Linked DNA regions of Drosophila melanogaster. The protein of the gene in region 1 interacts with the protein of each later gene in a pairwise test. Each region holds a gene or a part of one and is shown in the gene's direction. Other genes may lie near its edges.

Evidence for each region. The genes of interacting proteins can lie anywhere in the genome.
Region 2: the proteins of Glos (region 1) and CG8366 interact in a two-hybrid assay, tested with the Drosophila melanogaster proteins (one large-scale study listed by BioGRID).

Annotation. Positions count from the first base shown.
Region 1 is NC_004354.4:3,934,985-3,941,138, forward strand, and holds Glos (gaulos), read left to right. Parts: upstream 1-1,532; 5' UTR 1,533-1,837; coding exon 1,838-1,955; intron 1,956-2,008; coding exon 2,009-4,171; intron 4,172-4,230; coding exon 4,231-4,685; 3' UTR 4,686-5,598; downstream 5,599-6,154. Other genes in the region: CG2938 (uncharacterized protein), read right to left, coding at 1-195, 276-372, 746-1,013; Gem4b (gemin 4b), read left to right, coding at 6,076-6,154. UniProt on the Drosophila melanogaster protein: Component of the survival motor neuron (SMN) complex that catalyzes the assembly of small nuclear ribonucleoproteins (snRNPs), the building blocks of the spliceosome, and thereby plays an important role in the splicing of cellular pre-mRNAs.
Region 2 is NT_033778.4:15,953,356-15,957,192, forward strand, and holds CG8366 (uncharacterized protein), read left to right. Parts: upstream 1-1,684; 5' UTR 1,685-1,762; coding exon 1,763-1,899; intron 1,900-1,967; coding exon 1,968-2,161; intron 2,162-2,218; coding exon 2,219-3,255; 3' UTR 3,256-3,281; downstream 3,282-3,837. Other genes in the region: Strn-Mlck (Stretchin-Mlck), read right to left, coding at 71-482, 547-1,418, 1,478-1,523, 3,284-3,452.

The DNA of each region.
Region 1 (6,154 bases):
TCCTCGAAACGGGCTGAGCCATCAGTCACCGAGGCGTTATTGTCCTCCTCGTCGGCCATTTCATCCGCGGCCAATGGCAGGCGAAGTTGCTCCACAAATCGTTCGTAGAGCAGCCGTATACTCTCGTCGCCAATGAACACAAAGTTGTTCTTGTTGTCGAAGAAGGCGAGGTAACGCAAACAGCGCCTTGTGTCACTGTAAATAATGAGAATTTCGGTTTGGGTGACTCATTAATTGGGGGGTTATCTTGTCGGGAATGTGCGTTGATTACTCACGTGAGGGAGTACTTGTGCACCATGCAACCGTACGGCTGCCACTCGTTGTCGCCCTTAAATCGGCCCTTGGACAGCAGCCACTGGCAGGAGTCACTGCCTGCGGGAGAACAAAACAAAACAAATCAATATCCATAATAAGCATACGATGGCAGCCAACATCCCAAATATGAACTTTACATGTCGTTTATATTAATCCAACCAACTGCAGAATTTGTACACTAATCTTAAAATTCGACATGATTATCTATATTTACATAAACGTTTGAGATTAAAAGTTTGTAAAAACCTTTTTTACTATTTAAAATGTACCGAATATGGTCAAACGTCAAACTGACTCATTAATAATATGAGAAGAATAAGTGAACATTGGTATACAATTGTGATCTTAAAATGGGTACGATTCCGTATCCACATCCATTATAAATTTCATAGTACTTAGATCTTTAAAGATCTTGTAACCTTGGACCCACCGTATTTCCAGTTGAGCAGGCCGTGATAGACGATGAAGCCGAGGACCAGAAGCAAAGCCACCTTCTTGGCATTGGTGGCGTTTAGTTGTTCCATAAATATATCCGCTCTGGTGGGCATACGCTGTCCTCCGGCGGCGCCTCCAATGCAGATGCCGCCTAGTTCGGGACTAGGGGCTCCATTCACTGACACTCCGGGGGTTCCGGTTGTAGCTGCTCCAATGCCTCCTACGCTTCCACCATTTCCACCGCGCAGTTCGCGTAGCTCCATAATTTATAAGCCGTCTGCCGCCTTCTCCACCGCCACCACCAAACGGTCTGCGACGGAAAGTCTGGCCTATAATATAGATAATTTGGCCTATTGCATGGGCATGTTTTAACCCAGTTCCGCTTGTTCCTTAGGCAGCGACCGACTCCTCCTATCGCTTGCTGTTTCGCTCTTGCTTGGCTTTTATTTTACTTTCCTTTAGCTTTTGCTTCGCCGGCCGATAGACAACCGCGTCTATCGACCGCCACCCACAACACAAAACTATCGACACCGAACAGCTGATTTGTCTGCATTGTGGGCGAACGGGAAAGATCGTTAATAATATCAATTATCAAATTTCGAAAAACACAATACTATACTTTATAGCAAATATACATTTATTTTTTTACCATTTAAGCATTAGCTTTTGCTTTGCCGGCCGTTAGGCAGCCGCGTCTATTGCCCTCCAACGCAATACAAGACTATCGATAACGAACAGATGATCTCTCAGCATTCCTGTCGAAAGGGAGGATCGTTAATAATATCAATTATTAATTATCGAATAAGGCACTACAATACTTAATTTATTTTTCAGCTAAAAATATTTACATATCATAGGAAAAAAATTAGAAATAAAGTTAAATAAATAGGAATAAATCTACATCAGAGAGTCCATAACAAAGCGAAATTTTTGTATTCGGGACATTTTCATTTTCAAAAAATATTCTTCGCACGCAAGATAAGTGGTACGCAACTATCGATTTTGGATAGTCATCTGACGAGAAGACGCACATAAAATTGAATTCGTTCGGAAAAGTTTTGACAAAACGCGAAGTTTCGGCAGCACTATGATAACTGCTAAGAAGCACCCGCTGGACAATTGCCAATTGTTTGTCCAGCTGAAGAAGTTATTTCATGACTACAACGAGAAGGTCCAGCGTCTGAAGGACATGATTTACTGGAGTGGTAAGTGAAGTACCAGAGGTTAGTGCCCAAATATGAACATTGTTTGTTCTCAGGAAACGATGAGCACATTGCGAAGATCTGCGACCAAGTGACGGACCTGCTGGTGGAGCACGATCTAATCATACAGCCGCCAGACACAATGGATCCTTGTGCTATGAATCACCTGCGTGGACTACTGGTGTACCTGGTGCTGAACACTGCACACGATGATATCCAGTGCGAATCGCAGTGGAGCGCCAATGTCATGCATTTGTGTAACCAGCTGCCGCCTATCCCACTGTTCTTGACCATCGCAATAGCCGTTAACTGCTGTCTCATGGAGCCGCTGGAGGAATTCCTTGCTTGTGGACCCCGCTGGCTGACCATCCAGTATTTTGAGGCATTCAATGAGGCTCTGTCGGTCATTAATTCAGATTGCGTGGAAACACTACCGCTGCTCTCTGCCGCCCTCAGAGCAGCCGGTCGCGCAATTGTCAACTGCAATTTGCCCGCAGAAAATAAGCAACTGCTGCGCCAGATAGCCTGCATGGAACATCGTCATATCTTGGACTCTAAACAGCGCCTCCATACGCTGCCGCGTCCATCCACTCGAAAGATTTACCTGGCCAAGGCTATGGATCACCTTATAGAAGTCCTTTTGTATACCCTCAATGATCCATTAAAGCGGGAGAAACCAAATTGCTTCGCCGTCTACAGCCAAATAACCGAGGACATCAGTGACAGCAACTCAAGCGATCCCATGCCTGATCTGCGGCATTTCGCCCAAATACTGCTAGACGTTCTGCAGCGTATCTTTCAGCTCGTTAGCGTAGACACGTATATGTATTGGCATGAAATGAAATCGAAAAGTGCTTTGTATAACTGCCAGGAGCTAATCTGTAGACAGACGGCAGAATTGCTTAAAGTACTCCAATCAGATAAGTTGCTCGGAGAGCATCCGGTTTGCAAGCAGATGCAGAGCTTTGCGGATGCAGCAAAAACATTGGAGCAGCGCGTTGCCGAGATGAGAATCGGTGAACTCTTGGCCTTTATCGATTCCGGTATGGCCACCAATGAGGAGTTGCTCGCCGGGCTGGACAATCTCTTTAGCCGCTTCATAGCCTTTGGCAGCGATGAGTGCCTGGAAACGATGGCAAATCATTTAATTATGCTCACCAAGAAACATGCCCAGATAATACTCAGTTTCCTGGGTCAGGTGGTGGAGTCCGAAATGGTGGTCGAGGACGAGGGCATATCCGTTACGGAAGTAAATCAGGGGGACGACGAGGACGAGACCTCGTCCAACGATGATTACGAAGAGCTGCTAAGCCTAGTACTGCGTCCCTTATTTATGCAATTAAATGTCGAGGACAAGATGGAAGTACTGCTATTACGCGATGAGCAAAACGTTACCCAAGGATTTAATTTCAAGGCTCCCGATCATCGGGAGCGTCGCATACGCTTCTTTAATCAATTGGATTATAATAAGCGCTTCCCGATAACCGAATTTTTAGTACTGTGCTTTGAGAACGCAAGACAGACCTGGATTGATTTCTCCCACTTGGGCGTGACGCATACTCGCTTCTCGAAGCTATTCTGGCACATAGCTCAGTCTTGTCCCAAGCATGCTGCTTTTCATATTTCCGCCTGTGCCGATAACATCTTGGTGAACGAGCAACTACTTCAAAAGCCGTATGCCTTGCAGTTTACACTCTACCTATATGGCCACCGACAGATCCTCAACGGTCTCTACACGTCAGCGCGACAACTGTGCGTTAGTTTGAAAGACGGACGGTGTCCCTACGGAGAGGATGAGCTTAGGCAGGCGCAAAATAGGTTCCTAGACGCGTGTGCCTACGGTTTGGCCAAGTTTATAGAGCCCATGAACTTGCCCAGCTTGCAGTTAATCTTGAAACTGCTCAAGCAGATTAGTCTGGGTGAAAGCAATCTAATCACCCGAGGCACTGCAGAGTTAAATGCACTCGAAAAGGAGCACCCGAAATTGGAGAACGGAGACGATGCACCAGCTGTCAAGGTGGCCAAGCACTACACATATCTGCATGCCAGTTTGCCAGAGTGGCGTTTGAAACACTGGAAGCTGATCTCGCATGTCATGAAAACCATTGATGCCCTACGCTGGGACTTGGCCACCTTTGAAGATTTCCGGGTGGATAATTTAGAACTGGCGGTGTGGTATTGGCAGGACGGTCTGTCTCATCTGACATTCCTAGGCACTGGTGCGCTCTTATAAATGTAAGTCCAAGACGAAAGCCTACTAATTATTGCTCTTTCACAGAATTCCGCCAGAGGATCTTAAACCAAGTGAGCAAATTGAAGCACAAGGACTTTTGGATCATCTACCTTAAAGAAGACACCTTAAAGGACACACGCTCCTTTCTCAAATTGCTAACTCAGTCCAGTGCACAGGAGGCTAACGATCTCTTCAACAAGCTCCTTAAAAAAAGGGCCGATTGTGCTGTTATGGGCGATCTTAGCGATGCAGTGGTCAAGGTGAACAGCGAGTCCGCTTTCATGGCCTTTAGATTCCTATTTCGAGAATATTTGATCGCCTTCCGGAGCCACGCCAAACACAATAAGACCATCACGAAGCGCCAGCATTGGGATCATTTGATGGCCGTTGTGGCCAAGGCTCCATTCTCCATTCGCAACGAGATTATGGAGCTAGCTAGTAAAGCCTTCGCTGTGCGATTCGGCATAAATATCCAGGAACAGCAGGCGGCCAAGTGTTAAGGAGATGCTGTTAGAAGTGTAATTTTCTTAAGCCAAATCGAAACACCGCCGCTAATCGACTAAAGACGTACATATATAATAATCATAACGCTAGGATGATGTTCAATCCAGATATCAGATTATTTTACAATTTTGTATGTCCTTTAAAAGGATGACTGTATGCACATAACATATGTACTACTGCCTTGCAAATTTTTTGTCTATTTAAAAAATACTTTGGCAAGCAAGTGAAGTTATTCAGATGAAAACTATTGCAATTTTGCATGTTCTTCATATTATTCGTATAATTATGTATTATATACATACATACATATATAAAATACAAAACGCTATGATCGAACATCAGAATAATATGTGTGAGGAGTCTACGTCCCCACAAATCTGGGTGCAGGGGAGCGGCCTTGGACGCCAGGAAAGCGGAGAGACTGTGAACTAACGGTACCGCGCTGGACCTTGGACTCGAGCCTGCCAAGGGCACGGAGGTCGAACAGTAACGGTGCGGACTTTGGACACGCACAAGAGGACACACATTGTGAACTAACGGCAAATTAGTTGGACGCGCAAAGGGGAAAATAACGGGATCCCCGCGGCCTATAAAGGAACGGCGCAAGTGCAGCTTGGGGCAGTCAGTCACAACACGCGAGGAGCCACACGTACGCGAGGATAGTCGAGGAGAGTACGGGCGCGAGTCGAGCCGTCAGGAGGCGGCCGCGCAATCGGAACGGCGTCTAAAGAAGAGAGACAGTGCGTTAGAACGCGCGGATACTACCATCAAGTTTTTTGTCTATTAAATAAATACTTTGGCAAGCTTGAAATTATTGTAATTTAGCATGTTCTTATTATTATTCGTATTCTTATGTACGAATTCCAAATCTATCTCTCGATTTCAAACTCAAGTGCCGCATGCGAATCGCATTATTTTAAATACTTTTGCTAAATAGGACCACTGTTTAAAAAACTGCAGTTGACTTTGGAGAAGTCGCAATATTTATAATGTCAATTATTAATTATCGAATAAAACATTACAATAATAATACAAATAATTAATTATCGAATAATACATTACAATACTTTATAAAATATCTTCATTTAATTTTCAGCTGAGCAAAATACAAAATATCATATGAAAATGTTTATAAATAAAGTTAAAGTTAAATCATAGCATGCAGTGGACAAGTCATATTAGTATCTATCTACATCAGAGAGTCTATTACAAAGCGAAATTTTTTGTTGTAGGGACATTTTCATTTTCAAAAAATATTCCTTGCACGCAAGATAATCGGTACGCACCGGTAAACTATCGATTTTCGATAGTCATCTGACAGAAGACGCACATAAAATTGAATTCCTTCGGAAGAGTTTTGACGAAACGCGAAATTTCGGCAGCACGATGATAACTGCTGAGAAGCACCCGCTGGACAATTGCCAGTTGTTTGTCCAGCTGAAGAAAATATTCCATGACAACAACG
Region 2 (3,837 bases), on another chromosome or scaffold:
TTTATAACTAATTATGTATTCAAGTTATTACAACTCAATATATTTCAATGAACTAAAGATTTATACTCACTTGAACTCATCGCTGTCTGGCAGAATCTCGCCATTTCGCAACCAAACGTAGCTGTAGGGTTCATCGCATTCGATGGAGCAGCACAGATCGATCACCTCGCCCTCCAGCGATTTAGTAATCTCGGGCAGTCGTTCCGTGATGACAGCACGACGCCTGCGAATCTCCGTATTCGAGTCGTGGAAGGTGACGGTGGTGGAAGTGATGAGGGGATCGTGGTCGCCGCTTATGATGCAGGTGTACTGGCCTTCATCCTCGCGCGTCACATTGTCCACTATGAGCAGGGCCATCGAGTCCTGCAGCAGGATGTGAACTCGTTCCGAGGCCTCGAGCTCCACGTCGTTGTGATAGAATCTCACCGAGGGCACCGACGAACCCCGATAGCCACTTGCCAGAGCCATGCGTCCGCCAATTGCTGTGGGTGGCATGGTATCAATTGAAATAGTTAAGCTGTAAATTGGGCAAGGAGCAGCACCCACCTGTGGATGGACCCATGATGCGCCTGTACAAGTGGGCATTACGGCGGGAGGAGGAGGCACGCACGCTGCGCACCGAAGGCGACTTGGAGTAGCGGGAGCTGCGGATGACGTCCAAGCGAGCGGTGGCCTCAATACGACCGAAATCGTTCTCCAGCGTGACGCGATACAGGCCGGCATCGTCGAAGGTCACCTCATCGATCTCTATGATGCGAAGGTCATCGATTTCCTTGACGGCAATGCGCGGCGTGGGTGTCACAATCAGGCCATCCTTGTCCCATGTCGCCCACGGTGTGGGATGTCCGGAGATGGCGCACTGGAAGCGCACACTGTCGCCCTCCTCGACGACGCGATTGTAGGGAATGGCGAGAAACTTTGGCGCCGTGATGGCATTCCGGGCATCACTACGCCTGCGTTCCGCCACGCCGGACAGATCGATGCTGCTGGTGCGGTACGATAGGCGCAGGGGAGAGAAACTTCTGGCGGGCGTGGATCTCGGCGTAGAACGGGGCGTGGAGTGGGCGGAGAGCAGGCCACTGGGACGCGCTAGCTGGCGGCTGAGCATATTCTCCTTCTCCTCGGGCACATCCACTATAATGCAGGCGGAAGAGAGACTGCGACCCACCGAGTTCTTGGCCACGCACGTGTACTCGCCCTCATCCTCTGGATATACGCGCGGTATGCTCAGCGTTGCCTTGGTTCCATCGAAAGACATCACGTAGTCCCGATCGCTGGGCATAACATGCCCATCCTTTTCCCAGATGATGAACGGCTCCGGATCGGCCTCAACGTGACATTCCAGCGATATCGCATCCCCATCGCAACAGCGGAGGTTTCGCAAGTTGCGAACGAATCGGGGAAGGGTCTCGATGTTGCTGATTAATTGTTAAAGCTTGTTAATGACAACATATCTTGATAATAAGCTTGAACTTACCCATGTCTCGTGTGCACTTTATCCATGCGGCTTTTGTTGAGTATATCTATTGAAAAAAAGATATTATGCATTAGCACTTTGACTTAGTAAAAAAATATTGCATTTCGAAATTGGCGCCCATTAAACTGCTTGCCAAGCAGTGGTGATTAGTGTCTTGGCTATTTTTGTCAGATTCTTGCAAGAGTGCGAATATATCGATAATCGATAGCAGCTGTGGCCCAATGTTTATTTTTAGCACACCATCTAATTTTCTACTTCTTGTACTCAAATTTTGGTTAAAACAAAATGAGGGGCATGATAATTGTGCCCATGGACCTGGAACCCGGCTTCCGCAAAGCAGACATACACAATATACCCGCTTTGAACAGCGGAATGGTGTACAATTTTTGTCTATCCGGCGCATCTGAGAAATCAAAACAAATGTGAGTGCCATCCCGTTCGCACATATACCTACTGTGTATTCTATTAAAAATTGAATTTTTGCCAACAGACCAACGAATAGATGTGATCTCCTCACGGATTACGTCCAGGTGCGCAGACATGGCGACGTGTGCGAACTCAAGGGACTCGTGTTTTCTGCCACCGACTTCGCCAACACGGTAACTCACGCCAATGTATCGCTTAAGATCGTCGAAAGTGCTCAGATGATCATGGACGGTCAATGCAGCCTGTGCACTGCAGCATGTGAGAATGACTCCATTTGCCACTAATGTCTAGTTCCTAATCTTTAGTACATTACAGGTACTTGTGCCCACATCGTGGCCTTCACCTTCTGGCTGCTAAACAAGAGCACAGATCGAAATCCCTCGGCTGTGGTGGAGTTTTGGGGCCACGAGTTGGAAAATCTGGTGCAACCGGAGCCCACAACTGCTACTCGAATATGTGATATAATTCCCAAGGATGATGTGCGAATGGAAAGCGAACTAAACTCGAAAGAACTTAGCGCCAGCGAGGGAGAGGCTTTCCTAGTGACCATTCTGAATGAACTGGCCGACTGTGGCAGGGACTCGGCGCTCTACCGGCAATGTGTGGAGACCACCGATGAGTTCGAGCCCATGTTCGTACACCATGTGCTGCTCCGAGCAAATGAGTACAATGTCGTCGATCCGTCCAGCTATGTGCAACACATGGAGGCACAGGCACATACGGGTATTATCGAAAGTCTGTACGAGGCAACGCGAAGCAAATACAAATCCCGATTGTGGGTGGAGGTACAGTATATGCGCATCCGTTGCTCCATGATGCACATGATCATAAGCCGCAAAACCTCTGATGATGACGATCAAATCTTCAATATGATGTTTTGCAGAGGACGTGACAAGAATAACGAGGATCGGGTGCAGCAGAAGGAGCACAAGCGCTTCATATTGAAACAGACTGAGAAGCTGGAGAACAAGAACTACTTAGAATGCGGTCTGATCCTGCACGAGAACTTCCCCTTCCTGTGCGCCGCCCCTGATGGCATCACGGACGATCACATTGTCGAAATCAAATCACCAAAGACTGACGAGGACTTCGAGAAGTACCTCGAGGCACGCGAATCTATTGCACCCAAGTACATGGCCCAAATACAAATCCAGATGTTTGCGGCGAATGTTAAAAAGGCGCTCTACTGCGTGCTAAGTCCCACGTTCGAGAGCAACGGAGCACTACACTACGTTTGGGTACAAGCGGATCCGGAATTCGTTAGCAGTTTGCTGAGCATGGCTGAAGACTTCTGGCGGGACGTTGTCTTTCCCCGCCTATTGAATATCTACCCCCAGTGCCCAGGTCAATAAATACATACACATTCACTGTGCTGCTTACCTTTGGCGAATATTTGTAGCGATATTACAGCCTTGGCCTCGCCATGGCAATTGCTGGCTATCACGGAATAGGTGCCGGTGAAATCCAATTTGGCGCTGGGTATCTCCAGCCTGTACTCGGGTCCGTCTCCAATTCGCCGGAAGTGTGGCGCGTCCTTGTAGTACTCCGGCTGCGGGCGAAAGAAAATGTTCGGCGATCAGTGGGTCGAATTGCTCAAGGTCACGTCGCGATGTGCTTGGACTATAAGGACTTGTTGTGCGGCTGTCGCAGATCATGAATCACGACTGTCTTTATACAAATGTCGATGCCGTTGACGCTGACTCGACCGACGTTGTTATTATTGTGTTAAGCTTATGGCCATATAAGCACAAAATTCAGTTTCGAGACTGTCGAATAGGAAAACTGGTAATGGGTATACGTTGCCCACCCTGACCTCCTACTCCTCCTGCCTGCCTGCCTGCCTGCTCGCTCGCTTCCTTGGTCGACTTCGTGCGCGACAGTGGCTAATAATATTTTTTTGTGTATTTTTTTCCTTTTTGGCTCGCGTAATTGTT